4 linked regions of the Macaca fascicularis genome follow. The protein of the gene in region 1 purifies or fractionates together with the protein of each later gene. This does not show direct contact. Links are inferred from orthologs where the notes say so. Each region holds a gene or a part of one and is shown in the gene's direction. Other genes may lie near its edges.

Region 1 (3,520 bases):
TCTTGGCTGTTTCTGCTTTTGAACTGGAAGGTGATTTTTTTGTTTTCCTTCTCTAACTCCACCATGTGTTTCTTTATTTAAAAAAATTTTTATTGACACATAATATTTGTCATATACCATGGGTATGTGTGGAAAAAACAAGTAAATGGTTTTTGTTTTTTAAAAAACTGACATGCTCATCATAAAATATTCAGTCAGAATTGACAAGTACAAAGATGAAAGCAAGTCACAATTTTACCACTCAGAAATAGCCAAATTCACTATTTGGTGAATGTGTTTCCAGATATGTCTCTGAATATAAGAATGGCCAGAGAGAAATAATTTTATCTTAGCCAGATGTGGTGTCTCAACACCTGTAATCCCAGCACTTTGGGAGGCTGAGGTGGGAGGATCCCTTGGGGCCAGGAGTTTAAGACTAGCCTGGGCAACATAGTGAAACCGCATCTCTACTTTAAAAAAAAAAAAAAGAAAAGAAATAATTTTTTTTTTTTAGTTTCACTTCAATCTATCAGAAATAATTTTATCTCAAGAATGTCTTCAAATTTATTCTTATTTTAAAGTAATCATTAAAAAAATTGACAGATAAGAGTCATTAAAGTAAAAAAGTAGTATTGTTAAACTTTAGATAGAAACTTCCGCCCCTTAAGATAAATAGATTCTGAACAAGCTAGCCTTCCAAAGTTAGGAAAACTCAGTAAGAAATTGAAGTCATGTTTTCAACGTACGTATTTTGGTTTCAGACAGCAGAGACTCTGCCATGACAGAAGAGGTTATTAGCATACTTTCTGCCTCCTGTCTCCTTATCCTGTTGCCTCCAGATTTTAGTTGTTTATTAATTTTGGTTTCTAATGCTTCATAACATTTAATTTTATTCTGCAGTCATAATTTCCGGAGTTCCCAAGTGTCAGCTCTGTACTTTTGAGTGTGCCTTTTCTCTAGGGCTTCAGAATTTCTTTTGCAGCTAAGGAGTGAACTGATTGTGCTCACTGCCTTGCAGAGCTGTTCCTTTGGGTACCATGCTGGTGGCTGGGGCAAACCTCCGGTGGATGAGACTGGGAAACCGCTCTATGGGGATGTGTTTGGAACCAATGCTGCTGAATTTCAGGTATGGGCTATGTACTGGCGATCTTGGTTTTACTTAACATCATGAAGGTTAGAGATTGTTGGTTTATAGCTTCATTATCAGGGAGTTGCGTGTTCTGACACAGCAGAGCCTGGAAAAGGGCAAACATTTTCCCGAGATGTTAACGCAAGCCCCTCACTGGAATTTGAGCTCTAGGTAGGTAGGGATTATTGTCTGTGTGTTGACTCTTAACACCCCTTCAGCTTAAAACAGCCTGGTACATAACAGGTACTTAGAAAACATTTGTTGACTGATTAAGTGATTTCTTTCAGACCAAGACTGAGGAGGAAGAGATTGATCGGACCCCTTGGGGGGAACTGGAACCATCTGATGAAGAATCCTCAGAAGAAGAGGAAGAGGAAGAAAGTGATGAAGACAAACCAGATGAGACAGGCTTTATTACCCCTGCAGACAGGTGGGGGAAGCAGAGAGTGCCTCTTGGAAATGGCTTATCTTTGGGGGCCTTCTCTTTACTCCAGAGCTTGTTCCTCTCTTCACAGTGGCCTCATCACTCCTGGAGGCTTCTCATCAGTGCCTGCTGGAATGGAGACCCCTGAACTCATTGAGCTGAGGAAGAAGAAGATCGAGGAGGCGATGGATGGGTGAGGGTGCCAGACAGGGCTTCACTTCCCGTTGGCTGACTGGCTGACTGTTGTTCCTTTCTCCCCCATCCCTTTTTAAAAAATTATTGAACCAACTCTGCCAGGCGATACTCCAGGCAGGGAGGAGTCAGCAGTTGAGGTAAACTGGTAATCAGAGAACAAGATACTTTCAGATGTAGATAAGGATGCTCAAGCAGAGGAAACTGGGTAATGGGATGGGGGGGCAGGGAGGCCTTTGGGAAGGCCTCATTGGGGAGGTGGTGCTTGAACTGAGACGCGAATGGAAAAGCGCCAGCCACAGGATCATCTGGATCAGAAGTAACAGTAAGTGCAAGCAAGTGCAAAGGCCCTGACACAGGGATGCGCTAGTATTTTGAAGCTCCATTTTTAGGTACTTGAATGTGTGGTGTTGTTAGGTCTTCATGAATTGACCCCTTTATCATGAAATGACCCTCTCTTTATCCATTCTGCTCTTTGTTCCCTTTTTCCTGTTTTTATACCTTCTTTTGGATTACTTGAACAATTTCTATGATTCCATTTTATCTCCAGTGTTGGTTAATTAGCTGTTAAGTTTTTGCTTTGTTATTTTAGTGGGTGCTCTGGGGTTTATCGTAGATCATGTCTATATCAGGATCTAGCTTCTCTTGATGTCACACTGCTTCCAGATGGCATTAAGAGCCGCGATAGTGTACTTCGCTCTCCGCCCAACTTTGCACTGTGTTATCATGTATTTACATGTTATAAATCCTGTACTGTATAGTTATTATTTTTGTTTAAATGGTCAGTTATCTTTTAGGGAGGTTTCAATAAGAATCATGCATGAAGCCATGTAGTTACCATTTTTGTTTCTTTCATTTCTTTGTGTAGATACAGGTTTCTATCTGATATCATTTTTCCTCTGCCTGAAGGGCTTCCTTTAATGTTTCTTTAGGGGTCATGGTGGCTTACGCCTGTCATCTCAGCACTTTGGGAGAAGGCTGAGGTGGTAGATTGCTAGAGTCCAGGAATTTTGAGACCAGCCTGGGCAACATAGTGAGACCCCATTTCTACAAAACAAACATTTCTTATATTGTGGGTCTGCTGGTTTTGAATTCGTTCAGCTTGGGTAGTCTTAAAAATTCTTTATTTGGCCTTCATTTTTGAAAGATCGTTGCCAGGTATAGGATTCTAGGTTGACAATTTTTTTTCTTTCAATACTTTTTTTTTTTCTTTTTGAAATGGAGTCTCGCTATGTCACCCAGGCTGGAGTGCAGTGGTGTGATCTTGGCTCACTGCAATCTCCACCTCCTGGGTTCAAGCGATTCTGCTTCAGCCTCCTGAGTAGCTGGGATTACGTGTGCATGCCACCACATCCAGCTAATTTTTATATTTTTGTAGGGATGGGGTTTTGCCATGTTGCCCAGGCTGGTCTCGAGCTCCTGGCTTCAAGTGATCCACCTGCCTTGGCCTCCCAGAGTGTTGGGATTATAGGCGTTAGCCACCACATCAACCTTCTTTCAGTACTTTTAAGATGTTGCTCCAGTGTCTGTCTTCTTTCTTGCATTGTTTCTGGTGAGAAAGCTGCTGTCATTCTTACGTTTGTTCCTGTGTACATAATGTGTCATTTTTATTTGGCTGTTTTTAAGATTTTATCGCTAGTTCTAACAATTTGACTGCAATGTGCCTAGGTGTAGTTTCCGAGTGTTCCTTTGCTTGGGGTTTTTAAAGCATCTTAGATCTGGGTTTTTAGTTTTTATTAATTTGGGGGAAATTTTGGTCATGATTTCTCCAAATATTTTCTCTGTTCCCTTCTCTT
Region 2 (3,520 bases), on another chromosome or scaffold:
CAGTACAGTGACCTTCAACATTTCAGCACCCTTCAGCTTGTTACATATTTATTCTTGAAACCCATCACTACATCACCATTATGTTTTACACTATGTATGTAACAAATGTTACCACTTTGTTCTTTATTCCTTTTTGGATCATCTTCAGTGGGGGTAAAACAGTATCAAGCTCTAGAGCTCCCTCTGGTGGTTTTTGTGACTTATTTGAAGATGCCAGCTTGCTTTTTGAGAATTTCTGGCTCTGCTCTCCCTGTTTTTATCTGTATTTTTTTCTCATTGTGACTCTTGCACACACACACACCCCTCCCCCGCCATCTACCCAATTTGCGTCTGTTCCAGAAGTTTCTCTTCAGGGCAGGGCCGTGTTGGGACATGATTTCTAATAAGAGGGAGGCCCACGGCCGGGCCTGGTGGTTCACACCTGTAATCCCAGCACTTTGGGAGGCCAAGGCGGGCAGATCACCAGGTCAGGAGATCGAGACCATCCTGGCTAACATGGTGAAATCCCCTTGTCAGACCTCTGAGCCCAAGCCAAGCCATTGCATCCCCTGTGACTTGCACATAGACACCCAGATGGCCTGAAGTAACTGAAGAATCAGTGCAAAAGAAGTGCAAATGCCCTGCCCCGCCTTAACTGATGACATTCCACCACAAAAGAAGTAAAAATGGCTGGTCCTTGCCTTAAGCGATGACATTATCTTGTGAAATTCCTTTTCCTGCCTCATCCTGGCTCAAAAAGCTCCCCCACTGAGCACCTTGTGACCCCTACTCCTGCCCGCCAGAAACAACCCCCCTTTGACTGTAATTTTCCTTTACCTACCCAAACCCTATAAAACGGCCCCACCCTTATCTCCCTCTGCTGACTGTCTTTTCAGACTCAGCCTGCCTGCACCCAGGTGATTAAAAAGCTTTATTGCTCACACAAAGCCTGTTTGGTGGTCTCTTCATGCATGACACCCGTCTCTACTAAAAATACAAAACAAAATTAGCCGGGCGTGGTGGCAGGCTCCTGTAGTCCCAGCTACTCAGGGGGCTGAGGCAGGAGAATGGTGTGAACCCGGGAGGCAGAGCTTGCAGTGAGCCGAGATTGTGCCACTGCACTCCAGCCTGGGCGATAGACCAAGACTCCGTCTCACAAAAAAGAAAAGAAAGAAATTATTTAAACATTTGTGATGTGCTAGTATTGGGCTTGGTGCTAGAGAGTAAAAGTTAAGTAAATAAATAAAAGACAACTTGCTTCAAAAGCACTCTCCCTTTCCAAATCTCAAAATAGCATGTAGTATTCGTGTTCTTACCTGTGGCCATTACTTTACAGGGTGATCTGGACCCTCTGGCATCTCTCAAATCACTGACTTACCTAAGGTATGGGAATTACATATTGTGACAAAATGAATGAAGTCCTTTAAAATAACATTACTTTTACCAGCCTTGACCTTAATGTAATCAGTTAATTAAAAGTGCCTTTTACAAAGAAATATTGAATATATTTCCTTAATGGTAAATTGTTACAATGTTGAAATGTGAAGAATTGTGAATGTTCCCTTGATTTATAGGTTCCTTAGACTATTCAAACAGACCTTTTGAGTGCTGTGCCATGAACAAGTTTGCCATTGTGTTACTTTTTTTCTTGTAGTATTCTAAGAAATCCGGTAACCAATAAGAAGCATTACAGATTGTATGTGATTTATAAAGTTCCGCAAGTCAGAGTACTGGATTTCCAGAAAGTGAAACTAAAAGTAAGTCGTAATCTGTTGCTTGTGAGTCATTATAGAGTTGTGTGTTTTTCTTTATATTTTTATCACTGATTATTAAAATTGTCTAAATAAGTAAATTTTACCATTAGTTTGTAATGAAAGTGGGGGGGAAATGTTACGTCAAATTTTTTTCTAATAGCAGAGTTTATGATAGAACTTTAAGTTAAAGCTCTTTTATGTAATGCTGGCCATTCCAAAGTTTGCAAAATGTTGAGGCCACAGTGAACACTCTGGATTGTCTGCTTAGATACATTCCTAGTGGAGAACTTAATGTAACCCACTTTTGTGCAGCTCTGTTTGTTAGGAAGGTTTTTCCCTTTATTAGGAGTTCATTATTTTATTATTTATATAATTGCCTTCTTAGTTCCCTGGGATCCCCTCCTTGGAACTAGGAGAGTGAACTTTCTTCAGGGAGCTTTACCAAAGAAAGAAGACCACTGTGTCTTCTCTTAATTTGAAATTGGCTTTTTGGTATTTTCACCAGCCTGGAGTATTGTAGGAGAGTTCGCTTCCATGTCTTCTGAGGAATGCATCTAAATGCATGTGGTATTCCTATTTCCATTAACTCTGTGTGTGGTGTCGCTGTAGGAGCGTCAGGAAGCAGAGAAAATGTTCAAGGGCAAACGGGGTGCACAGCTTGCAAAGGATATTGCCAGGAGAAGCAAAACGTAAGACACGGATATCCAACTTAACTCTACTTCACCTTCAGAAACATGATCTGATCTGTCTGGCAGTTCGTCTCCTACAAAATTAACCAAAAACTCTGACATATTAATGTGGTATTAAATTTGAGTGCTTATAGTCCATGTACATCAATGGTCCATACATCACAAGAAATTTCTACCAGGTTAGCAGAGCAAATATTTCAGTAGTCAGTCTCAATGTGATACCATGTACATCCTATTTTCCATATAGAAAGATGAACTGGATGGTGTTTCTGAAGGAGAGAGTTCTTGTATCAGTTTGTTAACAAAGATAAGATACTACACTGGTTGAATTACTTTCAAAAGCTTTTGAAAGTAAAAGAGAAGCAACTTCTGTTGGTCTAGGTTTAACAGTTATGTTCTTCCCCCTCTTAAGTTTTAATCCAGGTGCTGGTTTGCCAACTGACAAAAAGAAAGGTGGGCCATCTCCAGGGGATGTAGAAGCAATCAAGGTAATCATGTGTTAGGCTTCTTGACTGGAACGAGCTAAGATGGGTTCAGAACACAAAGTTGGATAATAAACATGTTCTGAACATTGCAGATTTTTTTTTCCCACAGTTATTAGCATATAACAATATTTCTGTTTAAGGAAAAACTAGCATAAAGTTATTATTTGATCAGACTTAAAATTACACAAGCTGATTAATGTAGAGGCAGCTTTGTCTTTCTCATTTTCCAGGGTGCATTTATCACTTTGAACAGTTAGTTACCTTGGTATGCTGTCTCAGTGTTTGCCTTAATTTTTACTTTCAAAGATTTGCTGTCTGGCAAATCCTTTTGGCTGATCAGTAGGGACCCTAGTTTTATAATATTGCCTCCTTAAATTATTCAGTAATTTAATTCCAAATAGTTACTTCACTTAACTATGATTTTAGGACATGTGGAGTGATTATTTACTCTTTTATAAGAAGGCCTGCATCTCTTCACCAATTTTAGAAATTTGTGTTTTGGCTTCTAGTTTTATTTTTGTGGGCCAATAACATTCTTCCCCCAACACCGAAGTGTTTAATATTCCAAATGGAGAAGTTGCTGTGAATTTCTGTAGGTGATTGATACTTAGTT
Region 3 (2,409 bases), on another chromosome or scaffold:
TCATATGATGCACTGCCACTTCTGTTTTGTGAAGCCAGGAATCCTGAGGCTCATCTTTATTTTTTCAGAACAGAGGTAGAGAGATGAAGGCTCGTGGAGGAAAAGATGGTGAGAGACTTGGGCAGAAAATGAATAGTTCTCAGGAAGAAATCTTGGTTATGTGTTTAGAGCATGAAGGACAGAGCCATATAGTGTGGCAGTGAATATACCTGCCATCTCCATCTCAGAGGTCTTCTCTACTTTTCCCTCTTGCCCTTTCAGTATAGATGTGGTTTCTAATTCTCTTACAGATTGTTTGCTTTGCGAGATCTAATGTTATTTTGCAGTCTCTTGGTAAATGATGCCTAGTTGGTGTTTTATTTTCATTTAATTTTTACAGTCTGTTCTGTATTGAGGGAATTCAGGAAAGAAACATATATTAGCATTTTAATCAGGGAAATTAAGTTTGAGTCAGCCTAGCTGAACTTCCTTTGCTAAAGAAAGAAGAAAACTTTTCTGGCAGCCCTGTTCTTGCAGAGCTTAGGATACATCACGAGCCCGACAGGTGAGTGCCGGAAACCAGCAGTCGTCCCGACTTGTGAGGTTATCTGAAGTAAGGCAGCCGGTGGCTGGAATAGTAACTGCATATTCCCCTGGGCCCGTGACTTTGAACGTTTGCTACCAGTCAACTCACCTATAGGAATTATCACTCACATGCCCTGTCAGCCCTTGGGGAAGTGAGATGAGCAAAAATTGCAGGTAATGATGGAGGCTCAAAACATCCAGATGCTATTGTAAAAACATGCCAAAGCAAAGCAGAGGCTTTTGTTGCAGATAAGGCTGTGTTTTTGCTTAAAGACCAATTGTGTAGATGCTTAGGACATAAATGGTGGGGATCGCTATTGAAATTAAATTAAATTATTATAAGTAGGACTCAGTTCTGTAACACATCTAATGATATGTTTTGATACAGATGCATCCAAGAAGTCAGATTCAAATCCACTGACTGAAATACTTAAGTGTCCTACTAAAGTGGTCCTACTAAGGGTAAGAAGCTGAGGAAAGCAAGCTGTCGGCCTGCCTAGATTTGTGTGTGTCACCCCAACCTACCCTGCTCCCCCTAAAAGTTAAAACTGAAAATGATCCTTTTGCAAATAATACTTTGGGCAGATCCCACGTAAGGCTGATTTTAGATTTTTCACTAATGTGTAAGTCTCTGCTAAGTACAGTGTTTAAGACTGCAGTGAGTAATTACTTTCAATATTTGAAATTGCAAGAGCTTCAGCTAGTTTATACATTTTGGTGCTTACATAGGTGCTTTTGTAACTCTTTACAGGCTTAATGTATGTTTTAGTGTTTTAAGAAATACTAACTTTTGGGTACTTTGGGGATGAAATTTTTCATTGTGTCATTTGGGATTGAGAACATTTACCATCACTAAAGTAAGTCATATTTATATATCCCTGCTAGGTGTTTGTAAGTTATACTTGGTACTTGAATTTATTTATTTTTGTGTTTAAAGAACATGGTTGGTGCGGGAGAGGTGGATGAAGACTTGGAAGTTGAAACCAAGGAAGAATGTGAAAAATATGGCAAAGTTGGAAAATGTGTGATATTTGAAGTAAGAGTGTTTTCTTTTGATGTTTATAACACAAGTTGTTATTGGCAGATTACAAAACATTTTCTACATACAGGACAGGGTATGCTACAAGTAACATATTCTTACTGCAGAAGGTGACAGGCATTGTTTATTTGGGCTTCTCTTGCTCAATTATTACAGTTTTAAACATAAAGACAAGAATGACTTGGAGTTTTATTTGGTGAAGAAACAGGAATGTTTCATGATTGAGAATCAGTATGGTGACTGAAGACCTTGAACTAGTGTGCTCAGTAGTTTAGTTCCTTAGACGTGCCTTTGGTTTCAGTCATTTGGTGAGTATTTAGTGCCTTTCACATGCACTGCACTGTACGGAGAGCACTTGGATTACAGGAAGCATGCTCTGTACTCAGTGGTGTGTTCAGTTGAAGAAACACAAAAATAACTAAAGGGTATTCAGTTACTAGACTGGGTAGTATTGACTAAGTTCAGGAGTTGAGACAAGAATTAGATCAGTGAAAACATAGAGACTGCCTTGTGAGCAATAGCAGATGTGGACTGCGCTTTGAAAGGAAGAGGTGAGATTTGCAGGGAAGGGTATTCTGATTGGGATAATGGCTCCTAGGAGACAGTGAAGATCAGGACTACCAAAATGGAATGGATGGGCCCACTGGAGATTAGCAGAAGTGCTTAGGTGGGTGGAATGGACCACATTACAGTGGGCTAGGAAAGCTAGACAGACCTAGTCAAAATGAGACCTGATGTGAAAGGCCACTAGGAGTACCAACCTTTTTAATCTTAAAACTCTGCTTACTCTGTTTCTTTATCCTGTT
Region 4 (3,520 bases), on another chromosome or scaffold:
ACTTGACCCTGCTCAATAGGCTGCTGCGCCTCATCGTGGACCACAACATAGCTGACTACATGACAGCCAAGAACAATGTCGTCATCAACTATAAGGTATGTCTCAGGCACAGTAGCACGAAGTTGTGTGTGGAATGGTTGTCTGGCCCACTGACTCAAAATTTGCTGCGGGGGAGGCCGAGTGCAATGGTTCACGCCTGTAATCCCAGCACTTTGGGAGGCTGAGGCGGTTGGATCACAAGGTCAGAAGGTGGAGACCAGTCTGGCCAACATGGTGAAACCCTGTTTCTACTTAAAAAAAATACAAAAATTAGTTGAGTGTGGTGGGTGCCTGTAATCCCAGCTACTCGGGAGACTGAGGCGGGAGAATCACTTGAACCCAGGAGGCGGAGGTTGCAGTGAGCTGAGATTGCGCCACTGCACTCCAGCCTGAGGGACTGAGCATAACTCCACCTTGGAGGGGAGCCGGGGGAATAGAATTTGCCAAGGGGAGAACAAAAGAGGTTGACCCTGGAGAATCCTGGGACATGGCTCAGGTTGTTAAGAATTGTCGTTCTTGGCCGGGCGCGGTGGCTCAAGCCTGTAATCCCAGCACTTTGGGAGGCCGAGACGGGCGGATCATGAGGTCAGGAGATCGAGACCATCCTGGCTAACACGGTGAAACCCCGTCTCTACTAAAAATACAAGAAAATTAGCTGGGCGAGGTGGCGGGCGCCTGTAGTCCCAGCTACTCGGGAGGCTGAGGCAGGAGAATGGCGTGAACCCGGGGGAGCGGAGCTTGCAGTGAGCCGAGATCGCACCACTGCACTCCAGCCTGGGGCACAGAGCAAGACTCCGCGTCAAAAAAAAAAAAAAAAAAAAAAAAAAATTGTCGTTCTTTCTTTCTAGGACATGAACCATACGAATTCATACGGGATTATCAGAGGCCTGCAGTTTGCCTCGTTCATCGTGCAGTATTATGGCCTGGTGATGGACTTGCTTGTATTGGGATTGCACCGAGCCAGTGAGATGGCTGGGCCCCCTCAGATGCCAAACGACTTTCTCAGTTTTCAGGACATAGCCACTGAGGCTGCCCACCCCATCCGTCTCTTCTGCAGATACATTGATCGCATCCATATTTTTTTCAGGTGAGGGCTTACCTGGATTCCTAGCCTTGCAGGGTACTGAGGCATATGCTTTGCCTCTGAAATCAGCTATTGTAGCTGAGTTGGCTTAACTGCTGTTGGGGCTTTAAAATGGAACGAAGCCCGGAGAGGGTGGGGGTAGGATGGGGTGGGGTCTCCGTCTGTGGAGCTGGAGGACCCTTGGGGTCCCAGATCTCAAGTGTATTAGGGCCTCAGCAGTGTACTTGGTCTGGTGTAGGTTCACAGCAGATGAAGCTCGGGACCTGATTCAACGTTACCTGACAGAGCACCCTGACCCCAACAATGAAAACATCGTTGGCTATAATAACAAGAAGTGCTGGCCCCGAGATGCCCGCATGCGCCTCATGAAACATGATGTTAACTTGTGAGTCCAGGTTGGGGCTGTGTGAGCTGGAAGGACATAGGCTAAGGGCCCAGAGAGGGCATACCTGAGGCTGTGTCCTGGGTGGGAGACGTGTGGCTGTGGCAGGATATCATCAGTTGGCCTTTGAAGGGAAGTTCCTTCCAAGAAACTGATGTGACCATATGGTTCTCTGTGGGCAGAGGCCGGGCAGTATTCTGGGACATCAAGAACCGCTTGCCACGGTCAGTGACTACAGTTCAGTGGGAGAACAGCTTCGTGTCTGTGTACAGTAAGGACAACCCCAACCTGCTATTCAACATGTGTGGCTTCGAGTGCCGCATCCTGCCTAAGTGTCGCACCAGCTATGAGGAGTTCACCCACAAGGACGGGGTCTGGAACCTGCAGAATGAGGTACAGCCTGGGAGGGGCTGGGAGTGACATGAGTGCGCCTGCACTTGCTGGGTGAGTGGGAGCCAGGAACCACGGGCATCCCTTGTCCTTGTCAGTCACCGGAGCCTTGTTGGGTGGAAAGGCTTAGTGGTGAACACAGTTGGCTCTTGCTTCTATGGGAGTTCCTCAGACAAAGTAACCTTGACTTTGTGGTTTAGGTTACTAAGGAGCGCACAGCTCAGTGTTTCCTGCGTGTGGATGATGAGTCAATGCAGCGCTTCCACAACCGTGTGCGTCAAATTCTCATGGCCTCTGGCTCCACCACCTTCACCAAGGTACAAGGCCGTCATCCCCAGCTTCCCTCTTGTCCTCTGCTGTCCTCTGCTCATCTCACATCCCTTTCACTTCCCCTGATGGCTTCTCCTTCCTTCTCCACTTTGCTTAGTGTGCCAGTTTCCATGCTCTGTGCAGTAGCGGCTTACAGTGTCAGGTCACTTTATAGTTATTTTCTGAGAATTCCTTGTAGGAATTCTGCAGTCTCCTTCTTAACGGAGTTGTGATGATTCTAAATTAAGGCAACAGTAAAAGTTGGATTTATTATTTTGAACAGAAGAACATTATTTTTGCACTTTCTTAGGGGCTTGTCTAAATTATGTTAACCAGTGGCATAGAGAACCTGTGAAAAAGCAGCTCTCCTAGGCATCTCAGAGTTTGTTTCTCCTTCACTTACCTTTAGAGGCCCAGCTGAAGGCAACTGGAATTGAGAAAGAAAAATCTGAGGAATTTCGAACTATGTATATTGAAGTTTTCACAAGATTTAAAAAGTTACCTTGGCCAGGCACAGTGGCTCATGCCTGTAATCCCAGCACTTTGGGAGGCCGAGGCTGGTGGATCACCTGAGGTCAAGAGTTTGAGACCAGCCTGGCTGACGTGAAAATACAAAAATTAGCTCTGCTAAAAATACAAAAATTAGCCTGACCTGGTGGCAGGTACCTGTAATCTCAGCTACTTAGGAGGCTGAGGCAGGAGAATCGCTTGAATCCAGGAGGTGGAGGTTGCTGTGAGCGGAGATCTTACCATTGCATTCCAGCCTGGGCAACAGAGCAAAAACTCTATCTCCAAAGAAAAAAAAAAAGTTACCTCACTCTGGTTTCCATTAGAGTAACTGTTTTTTTTTTGAGACGGAGTCTCGCTCTGTCGCCCAGGCTGGAGTGCAGTGGCCGGATCTCAGCTCACTGCAAGCTCCGCCTCCTGGGTTTACGCCATTCTCCTGCCTCAGCCTCCCGAGTAGCTGGGACTACAGGCACCCGCCACCTCGCCCGGCTAGTTTTTTGTATTTTTTAGTAGAGACGGGGTTTCACCGTGTTAGCCAGGATGGTCTCGATCTCCTGACCTCGTGATCCGCCCGTCTCGGCCTCCCAAAGTGCTGGGATTACAGGCTTGAGCCACCGCGCCCGGCCTAGAGTAACTGTTAACTATAACATTTTTCTTGTATTTGAACGTTCACATCTCAAAATGTATAGCATTTACATGCACAGAATGTTTTCTGTTTTTTAGTAAGTCTTCTGTTAAGGATACGTTCTATTATGTTTTAGAACTATTGCATTATGGTTGAGTTTCCTTTATCCAAAATTCTTAGGACC

Evidence for each region. The genes of interacting proteins can lie anywhere in the genome.
Region 2: the proteins of SF3B2 (region 1) and SNRPA1 purify together in Homo sapiens (affinity purification with mass spectrometry; 5 studies listed by BioGRID and IntAct, counting the BioPlex papers as one, with this or other methods). This does not show direct contact. The link is inferred for Macaca fascicularis from reciprocal best matches to the Homo sapiens genes SF3B2 and SNRPA1.
Region 3: the proteins of SF3B2 (region 1) and RBM17 purify together in Homo sapiens (co-immunoprecipitation; 4 studies listed by BioGRID and IntAct, counting the BioPlex papers as one, with this or other methods). This does not show direct contact. The link is inferred for Macaca fascicularis from reciprocal best matches to the Homo sapiens genes SF3B2 and RBM17.
Region 4: the proteins of SF3B2 (region 1) and PRPF8 purify together in Homo sapiens (affinity purification with mass spectrometry; 3 studies listed by BioGRID and IntAct, with this or other methods). This does not show direct contact. The link is inferred for Macaca fascicularis from reciprocal best matches to the Homo sapiens genes SF3B2 and PRPF8.

Annotation. Positions count from the first base shown.
Region 1 is NC_088388.1:8,327,873-8,331,392, reverse strand, and holds part of SF3B2 (splicing factor 3B subunit 2), read left to right. Parts: intron 1-997; coding exon 998-1,105; intron 1,106-1,395; coding exon 1,396-1,538; intron 1,539-1,623; coding exon 1,624-1,725; intron 1,726-3,520. UniProt on the Homo sapiens protein: Component of the 17S U2 SnRNP complex of the spliceosome, a large ribonucleoprotein complex that removes introns from transcribed pre-mRNAs.
Region 2 is NC_088381.1:86,339,028-86,342,547, reverse strand, and holds part of SNRPA1 (U2 small nuclear ribonucleoprotein A'), read left to right. Parts: intron 1-1,315; coding exon 1,316-1,362; intron 1,363-1,633; coding exon 1,634-1,736; intron 1,737-2,342; coding exon 2,343-2,422; intron 2,423-2,834; coding exon 2,835-2,910; intron 2,911-3,520. UniProt on the Homo sapiens protein: Involved in pre-mRNA splicing as component of the spliceosome. Associated with sn-RNP U2, where it contributes to the binding of stem loop IV of U2 snRNA.
Region 3 is NC_088383.1:7,062,522-7,064,930, forward strand, and holds part of RBM17 (splicing factor 45), read left to right. Parts: intron 1-952; coding exon 953-1,026; intron 1,027-1,501; coding exon 1,502-1,600; intron 1,601-2,409. UniProt on the Homo sapiens protein: Splice factor that binds to the single-stranded 3'AG at the exon/intron border and promotes its utilization in the second catalytic step. Involved in the regulation of alternative splicing and the utilization of cryptic splice sites.
Region 4 is NC_088390.1:1,796,447-1,799,966, reverse strand, and holds part of PRPF8 (pre-mRNA-processing-splicing factor 8), read left to right. Parts: coding exon 1-95; intron 96-887; coding exon 888-1,126; intron 1,127-1,361; coding exon 1,362-1,508; intron 1,509-1,687; coding exon 1,688-1,898; intron 1,899-2,095; coding exon 2,096-2,212; intron 2,213-3,520. UniProt on the Homo sapiens protein: Plays a role in pre-mRNA splicing as core component of precatalytic, catalytic and postcatalytic spliceosomal complexes, both of the predominant U2-type spliceosome and the minor U12-type spliceosome.